Linked DNA regions of Caenorhabditis elegans. The protein of the gene in region 1 purifies or fractionates together with the protein of each later gene. This does not show direct contact. Each region holds a gene or a part of one and is shown on either strand. Other genes may lie near its edges.

Region 1 (5,837 bases):
CATTGATAATTGTATTTAAAAGTGCAACCAATAAAATATTCTCAAGTCGACTGGATACGTACGTCTCCAGAATTTATAAGCGGGTTACCATGGAGATGTGAACGAAGGGAACATGAAGATGCAGAATGAAGGACCAACGGCTTCATATTTCTCAATTCGAATTGTTGGGTGATAAAGAAAAGCCCCCTTTTTTCTGAAACATTTCAAAATGTCCTTTATTATAAAACTTTGAAACATTTTGAGTGATTCATCCATCATATTTTCTGCTGATTTACTTACGCAGCCATCAAGCCGAATCGTTTCCCATCTGCACGATTCCGTCAAAAATCCGTTAATTAGAGGGTTGGCAATAAAATGGCTTGACAGATGTCACACACCATTTTAGAAGCTTTCTTTGTCTCACTGACTGTCTGACTGCCCTCTGCTTCCTATCGTTATTGTTGCACAACATCTGCCACTCCACAAAGCTAAGCGTTTTCTATCATTTTTTCCCGCAAATTCTAAATTTATTTTCTGATGATTTTGAAATTTGAAACTCAATAAATCAATGTACAGTTTATTCCTACTTTTGGCAATTTTGGGATGCATTAAAAAGGTAAGTGAATAGGGTGAAGTGGGGGAAGTGATAATCAAATTCACAAGTTTCTCTCTGGCATGATGTATGAAATGTCATCCCAAGGATGACGGTAGAGTCCTTGTTTGAGTCGTGATTGGTCCAAATAATGTCCGATGAATCCGATGGAGCGACCGAGCACAAACATTCCATTCAGAGCACCTATCTCGATAACTTCTTGAGCTTCAGCTGTTGTGAACATCCCACTGTTGCGCAAGATGTCGACGAAGATGATGGCAATAGCTCCATCAACATTTAGAATGAGGTTTGGCTTCTTGGCAGTGGTGATCTTCTCAACTTCCAGAGCATAATCGAGAAGTGGTGTTTCTTGAGCAAACTCCTTTTTGTTCAAAGCAAATCTCTTGAGAATCTCGACACGCTTATCAGGGTTATTGATCTGAAATTATTTCATCAATTATCAAAAAACTGTATTTTCTTGAAACTCACGCTCTTGACACGATGGCCGATACCCATAATATGAGTTCCACGTTTGCGCATTTCTCCGACAAACTGATTTGGAGACCACCCTTGATCGAAAGCCTCAGAGAATTGACGAGCAGCTCCATCGAGAGCACCTCCGAATCGGTCACCGATGGTGAGGAGTCCAGATGTGAGAGAAGATATCAAGTCCTTTCCAGCGCGAGCACAGACGATAGTATTATGAGCACCAGAAACTGCTGGTCCGTGATCAGCAGTGAGCATCAAACAGATCTCTATGAACTTGTTGGCATGTGGAGGGAGACGTTTCTGAAAAAGGAAAATATACAAGGCAAATTAGATTTTTTTTTGAACCTGGAACCACAGCAAGCCTAGAACTCCACCGATTCCCATATCCGACTCGAGGACTTTGGTGATTGGGACGCCAGCATAGTTCAATTCTTCTCCGCGTTCGTCACAAATAGAGGTCATGAAGGAAGCTGGTTTGCGAATAAGCCCGAGTTCCCGAGCCCAGGCATAGTCCATTGGAACTGCAGGTGGTGGAACTTCCGGCTGTGGAACGATGATTTCAAGTCGAAGCAATTCTTCATAAGTCTGACGAATCTTGTTTCCGAGGTCGTCAAACGAATCTGGAACCAAAGCACCAGCAGTACGAAGAGCTGTATTTTTGCATGCAGCAGTTTCTCCTTGTCCATTTGCAGAAGCTCCAGCATGACCGAACTGAACTTCTGAAGTAATGTGATCTGCACATGTTCCAATGCACCAAGCAATGAGAGGCTTCGTGATTTTCTTTTCTTTCAATAGCTCGACAATACGATATTCTTCTATACCTCCAACTTCTCCAAGGAGGACAATCATCTTAACACGATCATCGTGTTGATATCTCATAACGTGGTCGGTGTACGTACTTCCTGGATAGCGATCCCCTCCGATAGCAATTCCTTCGTAAACTCCGTTGGTATTCTGTGAAATAATGTTGTTGAGCTCGTTCGACATTCCTCCTGAGCGGGACACGTAAGCGACACTTCCAGGACGATAAAGTTTCGAAGCAAGAATATTATCCATCATTCCTCCGGTATTTCCGATCTTGAAACATCCTGGCTTGATTCCTCCAACAGTAGCAGGACCAATTAAGGTAACACCCTTATCTTCAGCAATTTTAAGCAATTTTCTTGTTTGATTTTCTGGAACTCCTTCGGCAATAATTGCGATAACCTTGATTTGTGTAAATTGAAGAGCCTCCAGAACAGTTTCAAAAACTGAACGCATCGACGCGAACGTGACCATGACAGTGGCATCTGGATGACTCGCGAAAGCTTTTGCCATAGATTTGTAAGCAGGAATAAGGATTTCTTTCTGTCCGAAATAATACTTTTGCTTGTTGTCTCCAGTGAACGGATAGGTTGAAGCGACGACTGATGGGGAGTGTCTTCTGCAAACAAAATCGAAATCAAGCATTCCTTGAATAGCTTTGTGTTGTTGTCCCCAAATGATAGCCTTTGTGTCGTTCTCGAACAAGCTTTGATGAAGAGGGTGCCTCTTGGCGAGAGGATGTTCGATTGTGGAAGTGTTCGGAGCTGGAGATGCTGGAGGACGTTCCGTGCCTGCAGTCTGAAAACAAAAACTAAATTATTTCCTATGAATAATTAGAACATACGTTTCTTTCTGGGCTCAACAAAAATTGTCCGGTGGTTTGAGGAGCCGTCGGGACTGTTGGCATTGGCTTCAATCCGAGCGCAGCTCCGACAATTGCAGTCATATGAGTTTCCGGTCCAAATACATAAATCGGAATTTCTAGTTTTGTGGCAGCATCCTTGACACGTCGCAGTCCTTCTTGGTAGTTCGGACCACCACGTCGAACGTAGATGGAAACATTATGTTCCTTGAGCTTATCAATGAAAGTTTCGAACGCACGAACGATTCCTCCGAATGTTTTTGCGACATTTGTGAAGTTAGCAATGGATCCACCAATGATGAGAACCTTACCATCAGGACGTGGAGCACCTTCTGTCATGACGGATAAAATAGTCTTGGCGTACTCGTAAGTTTGAGCTTCCGATGGATCTCCAGAATATTCTCCGTAGTTAGCAAGTTCAGATGATCCTCCAAGATCACAAACAGTATCGGTAAACACAACTGATGCTCCTCCACCAGCCACCATGGTCCATACGCGTCCCTTTCTGTTAAGAATAGTCAGCTTCAAAGATGCTCCAGTCTTCGCATCCATATCAGAAATGTATTGCTCCTCCGAAGTCAAATCACGTCCAAATGGTGCCGGGAACTCCAGAGTCGGAGCGATTCGTGCAGAAGCATTCCGACCGCTCCATTTATCCGAGCACAGAAAACTGGCAGTCTCGTCAAGCTTTGCAGCCAAGTCCAAAATATGAATCTTGCCATTGGTGAGAACAAACGGATTGATCTCCAAGTATGTGAAGTGAAGAGCTTTGTAGGCTTCGTATAAGCTGCGAACGAACTTTCGGATATCATCCTTATCACTACATGGCCCGAGAAGCACGCCTAGTTCTCTCTCCGAAATTGACATAGCATTGTCATCAAGTTGAACTGGAACATGGACTGATCTGGCCTGAAAATATGAAAATTTTTGAGAAATAATTACCTACTACAAACCTTTTCCTCGACGTCTCCAATATCAACTCCTCCCTGCTCATAGAACATAATAACATCGCGACAGCGTTCGCTGTAGATCGCGATGTACATTTCTTCATTTTCAGTATGAGCACAAAACGGCTCAACAATAAACGTGTGCAATCTTCCCTCCGTTTGGCCAACTTTCACATAACTGTTTGCCGTCTTGCCGAACCAAGCTTCCAGCTCTTTAGGAGACCCAATCTTAACAAGACCGAGCTTTCCACGACGCTTGATAAGCTGATCCGGCTTGATAACACCCTTGTTGTCTTGTGCAAGCCATTCGTACTTGGCGGCGACGTCAGAAAACTTATCTCCGGCCTTCACGTGAAAAGCATGTGGGGCACTGACAATTCCGGTCGACTCGAAATATTTGTACAAAACCTGCAATTGTTTTTGTAAATCAATCGAATAAAAAATAAAGCTTCATACCTCTTTTCCTGAGAGTTCGCTGACAGCTTTAGCCGACATATCAGTATGGGTGTAATAACCTGAAAATGGACAGTGTTTAATGGAAAACCGGCAAAGTCACGGATATATTGCGTAACAGACGGATGAAATAGAAGAGAAACAGATAGAAATCATTCGAAAAAAGGAGGATTGTGATGCAAGACGACACGCGGTGGCCTACAAAACAGAAAAAGTGCGCTCCTTGTAGCGGCGGAGGCGCTCGAGATCGAGATCAAACCGAATTTATACATATGAGAAAAAGATTTATCGAAAAAGTAGAGAAAAAGAACACTCTCTGGCGTTGACATTTGCATTTTTATTCAAATTCAATATATTTCACTTGTTGACAAGCCGAATAGGGAAAAAACGGTTGAGAAATTATTTGAAACTTGATTTCAGAAATTATTAAATAAATAAAGAAGAAAATCTATAGAATAGCTTCGAGGGAAGATTGTTTTAATTTAAGGTTTTCTATATTCTGAAATTTCAAAAAAAAAAAAAGTTTTAAAACATTTTCCGACGGCTCTGCAGTCACCATTACGACATATTGCAGAAACTACGGTATCCAATACAGTAAGCTTCTAAAGAGACCCGAAGAACTCGGGGGATGTCCAACTGGGGGGATTACTAACTCGGGGGATTGGCCCCGCCCACAGAACCGTGGCTTGCAATACGCCCATTTCTGCAACTGCCGCACGGTTTTAAAACTGTATTTTTATCAATAGAGCGAGGATTAACAAGAAAAAATGATTTTAAAACCGTGCGGCAGTTGCAGAAATGGGCGTATTGCAAGCCACGGTTCTGTGGGCGGGGCAAATCCCCCGAGTTGGTAATCCCCCCAATTGGACATCCCCCGAGTTCTTCGGGTCTCCTTCTGAAGCTTGAAAGAAGCTTCCCTTAGTGAAACTACAATTTGAAAAAACTGAAAATCAACCTACATCTAGCTAATACATTTTAGACCCCAAATATTTACGCACATGCATCAAAAATACATCATAATTTCGCGCAACTTTGGCTAGGCAGTTTAAAGGCGCAAACTGACTGTTTCTAGTGGGTCTCGCCACGATCTCAGTCATAGTGGTTTCTTCAAGTGCCAAATTTTACAAGTTTGTTAATTTGATGTTTAAAAATCCAGGATTAATTATCGAATGGGCGATAAAGGGGAAATACTGCTGAAAATTGCAGACTTTCCAGAAATCCAATGTCTAGGGACATATGTCCTCTTTTCTTTTTGTAATGTCTCGAAGCCGAAACGAGGAGAAACTCTTTATACATAACTTGTACAATACGAAATGGATATATAATAATTGGAGTTCCAATACTACGAATTTCTTGTCACCGGGGTCATGTACTTGTTTCCCACATTTTCATTTCGAATAAACAAAAAAGAACAGAAACAAAACAATTCTAACTTTTGTTTTACTAATCCACTAATCCTCAAAACATTTCATAGTTGCGGAATCGTTTTGGTTTGCTCCTCCGCGGGCTCTCCGAATACTTACTCGCATAAGTTTCCTGTTTTGCTCATGTCCTTGAGCACACGTATTTATTTCTATGTGAATGTGCATACGGGCGGTCCTAAAGATGAGGAATAAGTAGGCATTGTAATTTGAGCTAAAGAAGAAGAAGAAGAAGTCTAGCTCTCTATTCGAACGCCATTTACTTGAAAGTCAAAGTACTTCTAACTTCA
Region 2 (4,113 bases), on another chromosome or scaffold:
TTGATTTATTGTTTTAGCATACTCAAAACTTCAATTTTCTAAAAGATTTTTTGAAAAAAAACGAGTTTCAGGCGAAAATTATCGCATTTTTCTGCATAAAACTCGAAAAACATTGAAATTTTCAGGTTTTCTGTATTTTCAGCAATGTTTTGATGAAATTGTTCGATTTTCAACAATATTCTGCAAAAATTGACAAAGGCAGTCATTTATATACAAAAATTTGAGCAAACTCTGCCAGTTTTTCTATGTTTTTTCCAATTTCTCAAGAATTCTCCTTGAAAAGCTGGAAAAACCTCTGAAGTTCGAGCTTTTCCGGATTTTTTCGCATAATTACCTCTCCAGTGGATCTTCGTTTCGGTGTTGGCTCAAATGGATCCACAGATTGCATAAATGAGTCAAAACTTGAATTTGCCACGTGGCTACCGTAATATCTGTCCATTTTTTGGGATTCCTGGAAGGGAAACTGATGATCTGTGCGGAAATTGTTAATAAAATAGAAATGAACTGGTAAATTGGCAACCAGAATTACAAAACGATTTAAATTTCACGATTTAAATTCAAGATTTAAGTTTATTCAATTTATTCAACAGAAAAATAAATAATAAATCATTTTAAAATAGATGTTTAACATTTAAATTAATTTTGTACAAGTTTCCTCTTGTGACCACGTAGATACTCTGCAAAAATAAACATTTTCCGCTTTAATTGAGCTGAAATTCAGGAAACATTGAAAATAAAATTCAAAAAAATGATTTCTCTCAAAACTTCTCTGGCGCCCTCTTATCTCTGCGCCGTGTCAGCGAGCGCGTTTGCAGCGGGAAATTTAAGATTAAATATATTTAAATCAAAGCTTTGATCAAAGTCGAAATGGTTTGTGGTAAATAATATATATTTATCGATTAAAATCAAGAATAAATTCTAATAAATAACTTCGGCATTTTTTTGGCTCGAGCAACGGAAACCACGCGGCAAAAAATAAGTTTAAAATTACAGTACTCATTAAAGGTGCGTACCTCTTCGCATTAAACAAAAGATTTACCGTATTTTAGCGCAAAAATACAAAGAAAAAATCAAAACTAACATTTAAAACGATGCAATTTTAAGGAGATCTCCGATACTTGAATCAATCGGCTTCCAAACAAACATCTTCAAATACTTGTTAGTTGCAAACTCATCACACACAACAATAATTGCGTAGGTACCATCGCTCCTTTGGATTCCAAATCCCTCGTTTTTCACCTCTCTGTGTGAGTCCTTCCATACATCCACAGCTGCTTCGAACTCCAGTTTTTGGTCGACGTCCAGTTTTTTGTATTTAATACCACTTAAGGCATTCTGAATAAATTCTTCCTTCTGAAAATTTTGAGGAAGACGCATATGGAATAATTCCAGCCGTTCAGTTGATCCATTGATCCAATGTTTTAGAAATATGCATAGATCTGTTAGGGGCAATGGTTCATGAATAAGTATTTGAGAAGTATTTGAAACGAGTAAGTCTTCTAGTTTAAAAGTGCTTCTTGTTTCTAAATGTTTGAAGTTGAGGCCCACAAGTGACTGGAAATCTCGAGTTTCCCAAGTAATTTGCTCTAAAGTTAGAAAATCGAATCGTCTTGCAAAATGTTTCAGTGAGCTCCTAGTCGCGAGGTGTAAAAGTTGAATATTCAAATTATTGAATTCTTCTAGATAATCGTAGTCGATATGCTTAATAAATAGCTTATGAATAGTTGCTTGATGGAATATTGTAAGAATTTGATCTATAAACTCCCGCAAACTGATTCCTGTCATTACTTTTTCACCGTGCACTCGAATCAAATTCCTTCCTTCAGATTGTGTCACAGACAATTTCAAATTGAGATCTTCCATATTATAAGTGAAGATATCAAATTGTATTGTCCCAGAAATTGTTATATAAAAATATATGAGCTTCATATTCAACGATTCAACAGCATGTTTGGCAGTTTTTGAATAAAACGATATCCTCACTCTGAAAACTTGTTTCTACTTATAAGAATATTTATGTTTCCAGTTGGGAAAAAAATGCACTCACAAATCTTGCACCTCCATAGTTTTCAGCAATAAACGTAGTGGTTTATGCGGTAATCGAAAAATTGGAAAACCTCTCATCATGGTTGTAAGAAGAATGAATAAGAAAATGAATGACTTGGTGAACCAACAGGTTATTGATTAGGAAAAAGATAATGGGTACTACATACGTTATAGATGTACACTGGTCCTGACCACTCCAACTAATACACAGGCAGGCATGGGGTCAGAGATATGAACATTAACCACATCTAAATAAAAAATTCTGGAGGTACATTTGGCAGAAGAAACTCTAACAGTCTTCCACAATTGAAAAATGTTATTTATAAAAATTATAAATATCATAACATTTGCAAAATGCAGGGCATAACCGGACAAACTCACGTGGTGTCAGGCTGTCCCATTACGGTTTGATCTACAAATTTTTGTACAGAAAACCGTAACGTCAGCGCTTCTCGTAGATCAAACCGAAATGGGACACTCTGACACCAATTGAAAACTCTGGGAAATATGATATTTTATCCTGTTAGAGCGAGAGCAACACCACTCATAATGATATTCCCAAAGTTTTAGATAATACTCAGGCAACTCAAATCTTATATGAAAATATTAAATAGCAATATTTTTGTAGTTGGGTGATATTTCAAGATAAAATCGCAATATTCCGAGACTTATTCGAAATCTTTTTAGATTGAGCAATCTTTTGAGAATATTTCGCAATATTTTGAGATCAAATTGTAATATTTTGAGACAATCGAAATCTATTCGAAATTTTTAGTAATATTATATGGACGCACTATTTCTCGTATTTACTACAAAAATATTGCTATTTAATATTTTCATATTAGATTTGAGTTGCCTGAGTATTTTATTCCATACACCTACTGTTGTAGGAGTAGAACCTGCGTTGCTCAATTTTTTTTTGAACATTTCAATTTCAAATTTTGGAAAATGATTGTCACCCACAACAGGGATGGGTGGCAATTGCAGTTCGGCAACTTGCCGGTTTGCCGAATTTGCCGGAAATTTTCAATTTCAGCAATTGTTGTACGTGTCGTTTGCCGGAAAAATCTTTTTTTTCCAAAAAAAAAAACACCCAAAAGAATCATTAAAATTTTACGATTTCACATAAAAAAATTTCAAAATCAAAATACGTGATATTCACGGACAGAAAAAAAGAGGTAAGAGATCACATAATTAGATCCTAGAGAAGATGAACGCGACACAGCCAATTTGAATACGTGCTCCGTGCTCCAGTTTCAGGATTCCACAGCGAACGAGTTCACCGGTGCTCTCTTGGCGCGAAATTTGTAGATCAGAATGTTTTTGGCATCGACATTTGATATGTGGAGGGATGATTGTTGAGGAACCTGCAAAAATTAAATTTTTTTCAATAAGTAATGGATCCTTTTTATGAAGAATATCCCAAAAATTCGTAATTTTTTAGAATTTTATCAGAAAAAAAACCTAAAAATTGTAGATTTTTTGGCATTTTTTTAAAGGAAAATTGAAAAAAAATCAAAAAAATTCGGAATTTCAGAATTTTATCAGGAAAAATAATTTAATTTGGAAAAAAAGCCTAGAAATTGTAGATATTTTTGCATTAAAACAAATAAAATCAAAAAATTCGGATTTTCAGAATTTTCTCAGAAAAAATTGATTTTAATATGCCTTAAAAACCCTAAAAATTGTAGATTTTTTTAGTATTTTTCACCAAAAAAATTGAGTTTTTGGAATTTTTCGGAAAAAAAATTAAAATTTCCACATTTTCCGCACTCCTCAATTTTTTATTATCCATTTTGTAGACGGAGTTTCCAATCCCCGCCCATTTCTTGGCATTTCCAATACCTCGAGTTCTCAATTTCTCAGCTGCCTCAAACGGTGTCAGCCGCGGTCTTCGTACCGCCCGTCCATCCACAAAAACCGCTTCAGTGCCGAGTGTCGAAATATAAAAATTATCCGAATAATAATCGCGAACAATATCACAATGATAATCTGCAAGCACCGAGCACCACGCATCGCCCGTCAATTTATCACATCGTACGTGGCAATCATGGGCGGTGCCGAGTT

What was found. Proteins that work in one complex are often made in the same cells at the same time.
Region 2: the proteins of acly-2 (region 1) and fbxb-87 fractionate together in Caenorhabditis elegans (co-fractionation; one large-scale study listed by BioGRID). This does not show direct contact.

Annotation. Positions count from the first base shown.
Region 1 is NC_003283.11:13,114,839-13,120,675, reverse strand, and holds acly-2 (ATP-citrate synthase), read right to left. Parts: upstream 4,189-5,837; 5' UTR 4,169-4,188; coding exon 4,130-4,168; intron 4,082-4,129; coding exon 3,680-4,081; intron 3,636-3,679; coding exon 2,709-3,635; intron 2,663-2,708; coding exon 1,406-2,662; intron 1,361-1,405; coding exon 1,061-1,360; intron 1,011-1,060; coding exon 636-1,010; 3' UTR 544-635; downstream 1-543.
Region 2 is NC_003281.10:10,892,703-10,896,815, reverse strand, and holds fbxb-87 (F-box domain-containing protein), read right to left. Parts: upstream 2,297-4,113; 5' UTR 2,128-2,296; coding exon 2,048-2,127; intron 1,985-2,047; coding exon 1,084-1,984; 3' UTR 1,082-1,083; intron 678-1,081; 3' UTR 560-677; downstream 1-559. Other genes in the region: com-1 (DNA endonuclease activator Ctp1 C-terminal domain-containing protein), read right to left, coding at 335-388; athp-1 (PHD-type domain-containing protein), read right to left, coding at 3,241-3,413, 3,892-4,113.